Saccharomyces cerevisiae S288C: one gene and its partner. The gene in region 2 interacts genetically with the main gene of each other region. Each region holds a gene or a part of one and is shown on either strand. Other genes may lie near its edges.

Region 1 (6,076 bases), on a different chromosome or scaffold from region 2:
ACTGACGAGAGAAGAGCCAATATCAAATCTGGTGGTAATCCCGATGGAATCAGAATCGTCTAGTAGGAATTTGAAGTCTATTTTTTTAATATGGACTCATACAAAAAATTAGAAAAGGCGCCAATTAAAAATGTGCAATCAATGTAATGAAAGAACTGATCTCAATGGCAGGAAGATCAAATTGGTAGGTAGATCATGTCTATATAATGCATGTGAAAATTTTATAGAAAACTGTTGTGGGCTCTGGAAAACAGGCTGCTAAACAGTACTTAGTGGAATTAAAGTACGCTGGTGCAAAAGACCAATTTCAAGGTCACTACTATATAAGGTGCAAAAAAAGCTTGTAGTAAAAATTATTGCTCCTAAATGTCACCCTATAGAAAAAAAAAAGCTTTTATATAAGCATGCATGATATTTTCAATATAGTGCCTTTAAAATATATATCCTACGAAAAAATTGGTAACTTTTATCCAAACTTATAATATTAAAAAAAGCGCTACTTATATGCATCATTTCATTTAATCATTGAGAACAATTTCCTTGATTGTAGCTCCTTTGTTATCATCATCATAATCATCATACACTCCTTGTACTGCCACAACTATGTATCTTGTTTTCCTCCAATCTGTGTTCCCTTTATCACCCACCTGCAATTTATCATAATCAATAGTGAAAGTCGTTCTATTACTGGGTAATATCTCGATTAACGACTGGTTGCGACTTGCTTCGTAGTATGGCTCACTTGGGCTCACTGGCACGTTATCCAGAATTTTCACAAATTTTCTTTTTAGAAAGTTAAGTCTGGGTATTTGTTCAATTAGCTTGGCTAAGTCTTCCTTCTTCCAGTGCAATAAGGCTTGCACATCATCCAAAGATTCATCATCCTCTTGTTCTATGCCATCAAAATCAATAACGTTCTCGACAGGAATTCCGGCATTATCTAAAAGCTGACCAATGGTTTCATTAAGAAGTTGATCATTTCCCGAATTTTGCATAATTTCTGTCACGTTCGCAAATAAATTTTCGACTTTTTCAGAATGAGGCAAAATAGATATGGAAATGTTTTTTGCGGGCCTCTGCCCCCAAAGAATCATTCCCTTGGTAATCTCTTTCTCGTTGTATTCACCTAAATCAATCAATAGCTTCGCACGGTGAATTTTGTCTAAGGGTTGCCAATGCGTGTAATTATTCCCATCTAGAGCAGAGAATGCAACGTCACCAGGAACGCCGGCCGTCAAGTTTGTTATTTGCTTATTTTCCGCTATGTTGTTTCTTGCGTTTAAGCCAGGCTTGAACAGTTGGACTGTAAGCTCTTGTTTCGGTTTTAAAAGATAATAGGTACCATACCTATCCATCCTCATTGGATCACCAACACGGTCGACGTCTCTACGCTCTAGATTTGGTTTTCTTTCGTTTTCGGAACCATTATAGAAGTTGATATCCTGGTCATGTATTAGAGATCTGTTTGGTATCTTTATATGAATAGGAACATCTCCTGATTTATGAACAATCGTACCATTGTGGTCGTCAATTATTATATCTAAAACTTGGTTCATATATTTGAAGTTTCTAATAGCGATACCACCAGGGAGCAACGGTAGTTCTATTGGATTGAACCTTAACAAACGGTTAATTTTTTTAGTATCTGGATCAACCTCATAAGAATATCGGATTCCTGTTAACCCAAACAGAATGCTCTGTAGAAATCCACCGTTAGCTGTTAAAAAGGGGAATGCTGGCTGGGTTAATCCGTTTGTTAAAAAGTTGTCGTCTGATTGCTCACTAAATTGAGCGAAAGGAGCCCGTAAGTATGGAAGAACCGATTTATATAAGTAACTTTGAGAAGAAGAGCCGTGATTCAGCAGACCAGCAGCTGCGGCCACAAAAACCGGATATGTCATTGCAGGCCCAGACGCAGACTGTCTTTCTGAATAATAATAAAGATCTTTAATTGCATTGTTCAATATGGATTCATCATTGATATATCCAAGTGGGTAAACCATTAAAGTCACATCCGCCTGTTTAATCTCCACTGAGCTATTCATACCAGAATATTCCAAAGTGATGTTAGATGAGGATCTAGGGATATAAATATCTTTGGAAATTTCACTCCATTTGGGGTCAACGACCTCGCCGAGATGATTGCCAATGTCTGTTGCCCACTTTAGAAGTGTTTTAATGCCAGCATTCGTGAAAGCCCCGTTATTGATGTGATTAGCAAACTCGTCGGGATCTGTCAAATTATATGTTTCATACAATCCTAGGGAAGAATTGTACTTAACATAAGCAGTAAAAAATTGGGCTGCGTTTTTGATAATTGGCCATGTAGTATATCTCAGATACTCGTCATCAATCCCTTCGTGTCCATTCAAGTATATGGAAAAGGAGGCCATAGCGACATCAACGTTAATATGGTATTCGTAATCGACACAAGGTCCCGTAGAAGTACAATTAGCGTACTTACCAGATGTCCAGGGGTATATTGCTCCGGGGTATCCATATTTCTCTGCATTTAACTTTGCCTGCGAATGTGTAGCATTTCTGTAATTATTCATATTTTGAGCCACATTTGGGAAGAAAGGCAATAGGGCAGGTTCCATCCATATATCTGCGTCCCAGAACACCATACCACCATAGGAATCTGATGACAAACCAGAAACTCCCACGGGAAGACCCCTATCGCTCGAGACATTGTAATCTCTTGTATTTGCTAGTAAATGGAATAGGGACGATCTTGCTGTCATTTCTAAAAGACTGTCAGAAGGAATTTCAATGAAGGCGTCGTTGTAAAGGTCATACCACGCACGTTTGTGACTTGACAGAAGCTTCTCGTAATTGCCTTTACTGTTTAGAGCTATCATTTTGGCCAAACCAATATTAGTATTGTCTTGTTGTTCTTTGTTCTTATTGAACTCAGTAGACATAATACCAACATACTTATGAACGATTATCTTGGGTTGGTCCTCTGTCAAAATAACATTATAAATATTAGAAGAAACATCTTTTTCTTCAAAAGATTCACTAGAATTTATTGGATTGGTGGAATTTTCATACTTTACAGTACACGTTGAGTAAATAGCGCAATTAGAAGATGGAACGTTATCTGGCTGAACAATCATGAAAACCGCATTATTTTTTTCGTCTGTTCCCGTGCTATGTAGAACAGTCCTATGTGATGTGTTGAAATCAAGTATATCCCATATATTAACATCTAATGAATCAAAATCCGAAGGTAAATGGTCCGTATTCAGGGAAATTTCCAAAGAAACCACTCCCAGTGGATGAATGTGCCGATGTGCCCAGATTTCACTTTTAACATGTATTTGACTGTTTAGCCAATCTAACTCCGTAGTTACGATACCATCCTTCATTGATAAGTTTTGGCTATAATTAGTTACGTCATCCAACGTAACATTTTGTGGATTGAACCACTTAGAATCATTCACTAATGAGAACTGTAGATTGGTCCATTGTGGAATAGATGAAATGACAGTGGAATATCCTACATCATCCAATTCTGGGAAGTTTGTTGAATTTAGTTTTGGTTGTAGACAATAAAAGTCCGATACAAACGCACCGGCAAATCTATGATTTCTTAAGGGCCAACCGTTATTCAAAGCGCCTGGTGCGTCTGTGTAAAAATTCAGGGTGTCTAAGGCATAGCCGAACCCAATATTGGGAATACGACTACCTATATAACCGTTAGCAACATATGGTTGTCTCGAGTATGTATTCTTTGAGAACAAGTTACTTCCCAAAATCATGTTCTCATCATCATAATATGCCGTGTTGAAATCAGAAAGGAGTTCATAAAGTTTTTTAGAAGATTCCCTTGCTTCTGGATCGTAGTTCAACGTATGATTTCCCAATGACGGCGATATCACACCCAGAGGGTTAAATAGGGCAGCCCTCGAGGCATGTGAGTATGTAAGCCTGGAACTCTTTGTTAAATATAATGCAGTGACGAAGATAGCTAATAAAAATAGCATCATCAGTAAAAGTATAGAGTTGATCAAGTCAAACCTTGAGAAAGAACGATAATTTTTAGAGCGAGAGTTATTACCGGTACTATTTTTGTTCCTCAAACTAGGAGAATTGTTAAGGTTTGAATAAGAAGCCTCCGCATTGAACCAAAGCGATCTTATTCTTTTCATTATTGGAATGAGGAAATTTCGGTAAAAACAGATGCAATATTAGGTGATACTAGCAGGCTCTCATAAAGGACTGATGAATCCTTTTTTAAGGAGCAATAAGATTCTTTTTTTTTTTTTTTTTACTTGAAAAAAAGGGAGTGGTAATATGGTGAAAAGTGGAGAAATTTTGTTATTATTATTCAATAACGACAAGAATTCTCTTTCCGAATATAAAAACGGCGCGGCTGTTGGTTTGTCGTGATACGTAGTGCTTGCTTGGACTTGGAAGTAAGACTATACCAAAAAGGAAATAAATTTTGAGGGGCAAAGAAGAGATGCTTGTACTGCCTTGCTGACTCAGATTGTTCGTTGATTTTGCTCAACTTTCCGCTTGCTTAGAGTGAACGTGATAGCTTTACGGCTAGAATCAAGATGAATGTTCCTTTCTTTTTCCGAAGTATTTGCCCTTATTGAAAAAGAATGATAAGGGATATACGAATAGACTGGTAAATATTGTAGATACACTTGTTTTTAGTGAAGCGAGAATAACAAAGCTTCAGCTAGAGACGTGACGGCTGAGAGGTGACCTGAAAGAAAGTAGTTATTGCTGGCTTGAAGAGTGAAATAACCTTGGTACAGACTTTGATAGCACGAACTGTTTGCCATCCAGAGAAGAAAGGGCCTCTCATTTCCTGCGGTATCCCTTCGTTGTTTAAGCCGTTCACAATCCGGGTAATAAATTTGATCTTAACACAGTTTTTATATTAAGAAAGATCTCAAACAAATGAGTGAATATTAAGTTTAAGAGAGGAAAATACTGTGCTGCACAGATATTGATAGAATGACGGATATTCAACTAAATGGAAAGAGTACATTAGATACTCCTTCTGCTACCATGTCAGCAAAAGAAAAAGAGGCAAAATTAAAATCGGCTGATGAGAATAACAAGCCACCGAACTACAAAAGAATTTCTGACGATGATTTATATAGGCACTCTTCTCAGTATAGAATGTGGTCATACACTAAAGATCAACTTCAGGAGAAAAGGGTAGATACCAATGCCCGAGCGATTGCTTACATTGAGGAAAATTTATTAAAATTTAGAGAAGCACACAATTTAACAGAAGAAGAAATAAAAGTACTAGAAGCAAAGGCTATCCCTTTGACAATGGAAGAAGAACTCGATTTGGTGAATTTCTACGCAAAAAAAGTTCAGGTAATAGCACAGCATCTAAATTTGCCAACCGAAGTAGTGGCCACTGCGATATCCTTTTTTAGGCGTTTTTTCTTAGAAAATTCTGTTATGCAAATAGATCCTAAAAGTATTGTACATACTACTATCTTTCTAGCCTGCAAATCGGAGAACTATTTTATTAGCGTGGACTCGTTTGCTCAAAAGGCCAAATCTACTAGAGATAGTGTTCTCAAATTCGAGTTTAAGTTGTTAGAATCATTGAAATTTTCACTGTTGAACCATCATCCTTACAAACCGCTTCATGGGTTTTTCTTAGATATCCAGAACGTCCTTTATGGTAAGGTTGATTTAAATTACATGGGCCAAATATACGATAGGTGTAAGAAGAGAATAACTGCCGCATTATTAACCGATGTCGTATATTTCTACACTCCACCCCAAATAACACTAGCAACATTATTGATTGAGGATGAAGCCTTGGTCACAAGGTATTTAGAAACAAAATTTCCCAGCAGAGAAGGTAGCCAGGAATCAGTACCGGGAAACGAAAAAGAAGAACCACAAAATGATGCCAGTACAACTGAGAAAAACAAAGAGAAGTCCACAGAGAGCGAAGAATATTCGATAGACTCCGCGAAGTTACTAACCATAATACGCGAGTGTAAAAGTATTATTGAAGATTGTAAACCTCCGAGTACTGAAGAGGCCAAGAAAATTGCGGCAAAAAACTATTATTGTCAAAATCCAT
Region 2 (3,929 bases):
ATCGATTCATTGTATCTCTTAAATGTCAACAGAGCATAAGTCAGACTCTTTGCCATTTTTAAAAAGCTGCGAAGGCGAACGTGACTACGGGGTGCGGGTTTTTGTATTGCTAATGTAGCATGACAGCTTATCCAATGTTTTGTTGTGTTCATTCAAACTATTTTGAGCCTCACTTCAATTTTGTTTGACTACTAACATGGCAGCATGCGTCGTTTCTAGGTGCTAGCCAGGCTGTGAGAACGTAAAATTAGCCTATGTTCAACATTCTCTGCTTTTCAATGTCACTGTTCATTTTGTTACTATGAAAGTAGTTCGTCGCAATTTGTACTTTTCTTCGAAAGTCTTCTTTTGCAGTAGATGAAGTGTGTTCTGAGAAATTGATGCTTTCAAATGGCCTTAAAAAATTTTTGTATCATAGCTAACAACATACTGTTGCGCCAGGGGAAGTGAAATCATGGTTGTATATTACAATAGCATTATGTGCATTTACCAAGTATGGAAAAGCGGAAAGTGTGAAAGAAGTTTATGAAAAAAGCGGAAAATAAAAAAAAAAAGTTTATTTTCCTGTGACTTCTGGGAAGCAGTTAGACCTCCTTCGCTGTATTCTTAGGTGCTATACCTCATTTCCACGATGGTAATAGACGATCAGTCTATTAATGCGCTAAAGAACGTAGAAAAGTTATTAACTGAAGAAGCTTTGCTAATGCCGTCGCACATTAAACGGCTAGACATTGCCTTGAATAGGAAGCCGAATAATCTACGAAATATCATGGAGCTTCAGGGCCTTGCATATACTATAGTAAAAAAAAAACTAAGTTTTCCCCTGTAGTAAACAGGGAGATACCGTACGGAGGTCTGAATTCCCTACAGAAGTAGCTGTAAAAATTCAGAATTCGCAACAACCTATAATTGAGTTAAGTGCCTTTCCAAGCTAAAAAGTTTGAGGTTATAGGGGCTTAGCATCCACACGTCACAATCTCGGGTATCGAGTATAGTATGTAGAATTACGGCAGGAGGTTTCCCAATGAACAAAGGACAGGGGCACGGTGAGCTGTCGAAGGTATCCATTTTATCATGTTTCGTTTGTACAAGCACGACATACTAAGACATTTACCGTATGGGAGTTGTTGTCCTAGCGTAGTTCTCGCTCCCCCAGCAAAGCTCAAAAAAGTACGTCATTTAGAATAGTTTGTGAGCAAATTACCAGTCGGTATGCTACGTTAGAAAGGCCCACAGTATTCTTCTACCAAAGGCGTGCCTTTGTTGAACTCGATCCATTATGAGGGCTTCCATTATTCCCCGCATTTTTATTACTCTGAACAGGAATAAAAAGAAAAAACCCAGTTTAGGAAATTATCCGGGGGCGAAGAAATACGCGTAGCGTTAATCGACCCCACGTCCAGGGTTTTTCCATGGAGGTTTCTGGAAAAACTGACGAGGAATGTGATTATAAATCCCTTTATGTGATGTCTAAGACTTTTAAGGTACGCCCGATGTTTGCCTATTACCATCATAGAGACGTTTCTTTTCGAGGAATGCTTAAACGACTTTGTTTGACAAAAATGTTGCCTAAGGGCTCTATAGTAAACCATTTGGAAGAAAGATTTGACGACTTTTTTTTTTTGGATTTCGATCCTATAATCCTTCCTCCTGAAAAGAAACATATAAATAGATATGTATTATTCTTCAAAACATTCTCTTGTTCTTGTGCTTTTTTTTTACCATATATCTTACTTTTTTTTTTCTCTCAGAGAAACAAGCAAAACAAAAAGCTTTTCTTTTCACTAACGTATATGATGCTTTTGCAAGCTTTCCTTTTCCTTTTGGCTGGTTTTGCAGCCAAAATATCTGCATCAATGACAAACGAAACTAGCGATAGACCTTTGGTCCACTTCACACCCAACAAGGGCTGGATGAATGACCCAAATGGGTTGTGGTACGATGAAAAAGATGCCAAATGGCATCTGTACTTTCAATACAACCCAAATGACACCGTATGGGGTACGCCATTGTTTTGGGGCCATGCTACTTCCGATGATTTGACTAATTGGGAAGATCAACCCATTGCTATCGCTCCCAAGCGTAACGATTCAGGTGCTTTCTCTGGCTCCATGGTGGTTGATTACAACAACACGAGTGGGTTTTTCAATGATACTATTGATCCAAGACAAAGATGCGTTGCGATTTGGACTTATAACACTCCTGAAAGTGAAGAGCAATACATTAGCTATTCTCTTGATGGTGGTTACACTTTTACTGAATACCAAAAGAACCCTGTTTTAGCTGCCAACTCCACTCAATTCAGAGATCCAAAGGTGTTCTGGTATGAACCTTCTCAAAAATGGATTATGACGGCTGCCAAATCACAAGACTACAAAATTGAAATTTACTCCTCTGATGACTTGAAGTCCTGGAAGCTAGAATCTGCATTTGCCAATGAAGGTTTCTTAGGCTACCAATACGAATGTCCAGGTTTGATTGAAGTCCCAACTGAGCAAGATCCTTCCAAATCTTATTGGGTCATGTTTATTTCTATCAACCCAGGTGCACCTGCTGGCGGTTCCTTCAACCAATATTTTGTTGGATCCTTCAATGGTACTCATTTTGAAGCGTTTGACAATCAATCTAGAGTGGTAGATTTTGGTAAGGACTACTATGCCTTGCAAACTTTCTTCAACACTGACCCAACCTACGGTTCAGCATTAGGTATTGCCTGGGCTTCAAACTGGGAGTACAGTGCCTTTGTCCCAACTAACCCATGGAGATCATCCATGTCTTTGGTCCGCAAGTTTTCTTTGAACACTGAATATCAAGCTAATCCAGAGACTGAATTGATCAATTTGAAAGCCGAACCAATATTGAACATTAGTAATGCTGGTCCCTGGTCTCGTTTTGCTACTAACACAACTCTAACTAAGGCCAATTCTTACAATGTCGATTTGAGCAACTCGACTGGTACCCTAGAGTTTGAGTTGGTTTACGCTGTTAACACCACACAAACCATATCCAAATCCGTCTTTGCCGACTTATCACTTTGGTTCAAGGGTTTAGAAGATCCTGAAGAATATTTGAGAATGGGTTTTGAAGTCAGTGCTTCTTCCTTCTTTTTGGACCGTGGTAACTCTAAGGTCAAGTTTGTCAAGGAGAACCCATATTTCACAAACAGAATGTCTGTCAACAACCAACCATTCAAGTCTGAGAACGACCTAAGTTACTATAAAGTGTACGGCCTACTGGATCAAAACATCTTGGAATTGTACTTCAACGATGGAGATGTGGTTTCTACAAATACCTACTTCATGACCACCGGTAACGCTCTAGGATCTGTGAACATGACCACTGGTGTCGATAATTTGTTCTACATTGACAAGTTCCAAGTAAGGGAAGTAAAATAGAGGTTATAAAACTTATTGTCTTTTTTATTTTTTTCAAAAGCCATTCTAAAGGGCTTTAGCTAACGAGTGACGAATGTAAAACTTTATGATTTCAAAGAATACCTCCAAACCATTGAAAATGTATTTTTATTTTTATTTTCTCCCGACCCCAGTTACCTGGAATTTGTTCTTTATGTACTTTATATAAGTATAATTCTCTTAAAAATTTTTACTACTTTGCAATAGACATCATTTTTTCACGTAATAAACCCACAATCGTAATGTAGTTGCCTTACACTACTAGGATGGACCTTTTTGCCTTTATCTGTTTTGTTACTGACACAATGAAACCGGGTAAAGTATTAGTTATGTGAAAATTTAAAAGCATTAAGTAGAAGTATACCATATTGTAAAAAAAAAAAGCGTTGTCTTCTACGTAAAAGTGTTCTCAAAAAGAAGTAGTGAGGGAAATGGATACCAAGCTATCTGTAACAGGAGCTAAAAAATCTCAGGGAAAAGCTTCTGGTTTGGGAAACGAAGGAACTCCAATCGGGA

What was found. A genetic interaction does not mean that the proteins touch.
Region 1: of SUC2 (region 2) and ATH1, extra expression of one rescues a mutant of the other (dosage rescue), as found in Saccharomyces cerevisiae (one study listed by BioGRID).

What each region holds. Positions count from the first base shown.
Region 1 is NC_001148.4:613,457-619,532, reverse strand, and holds ATH1 (alpha,alpha-trehalase ATH1), read right to left. Parts: upstream 4,155-6,076; coding exon 519-4,154; downstream 1-518. Other genes in the region: TFIIH complex kinase subunit CCL1, read left to right, coding at 4,975-6,076.
Region 2 is NC_001141.2:35,589-39,517, forward strand, and holds SUC2 (beta-fructofuranosidase SUC2), read left to right. Parts: upstream 1-1,796; coding exon 1,797-3,395; downstream 3,396-3,929. Other genes in the region: YIL163C (uncharacterized protein), read right to left, coding at 1,311-1,664; SMU2 (Smu2p), read left to right, coding at 3,845-3,929.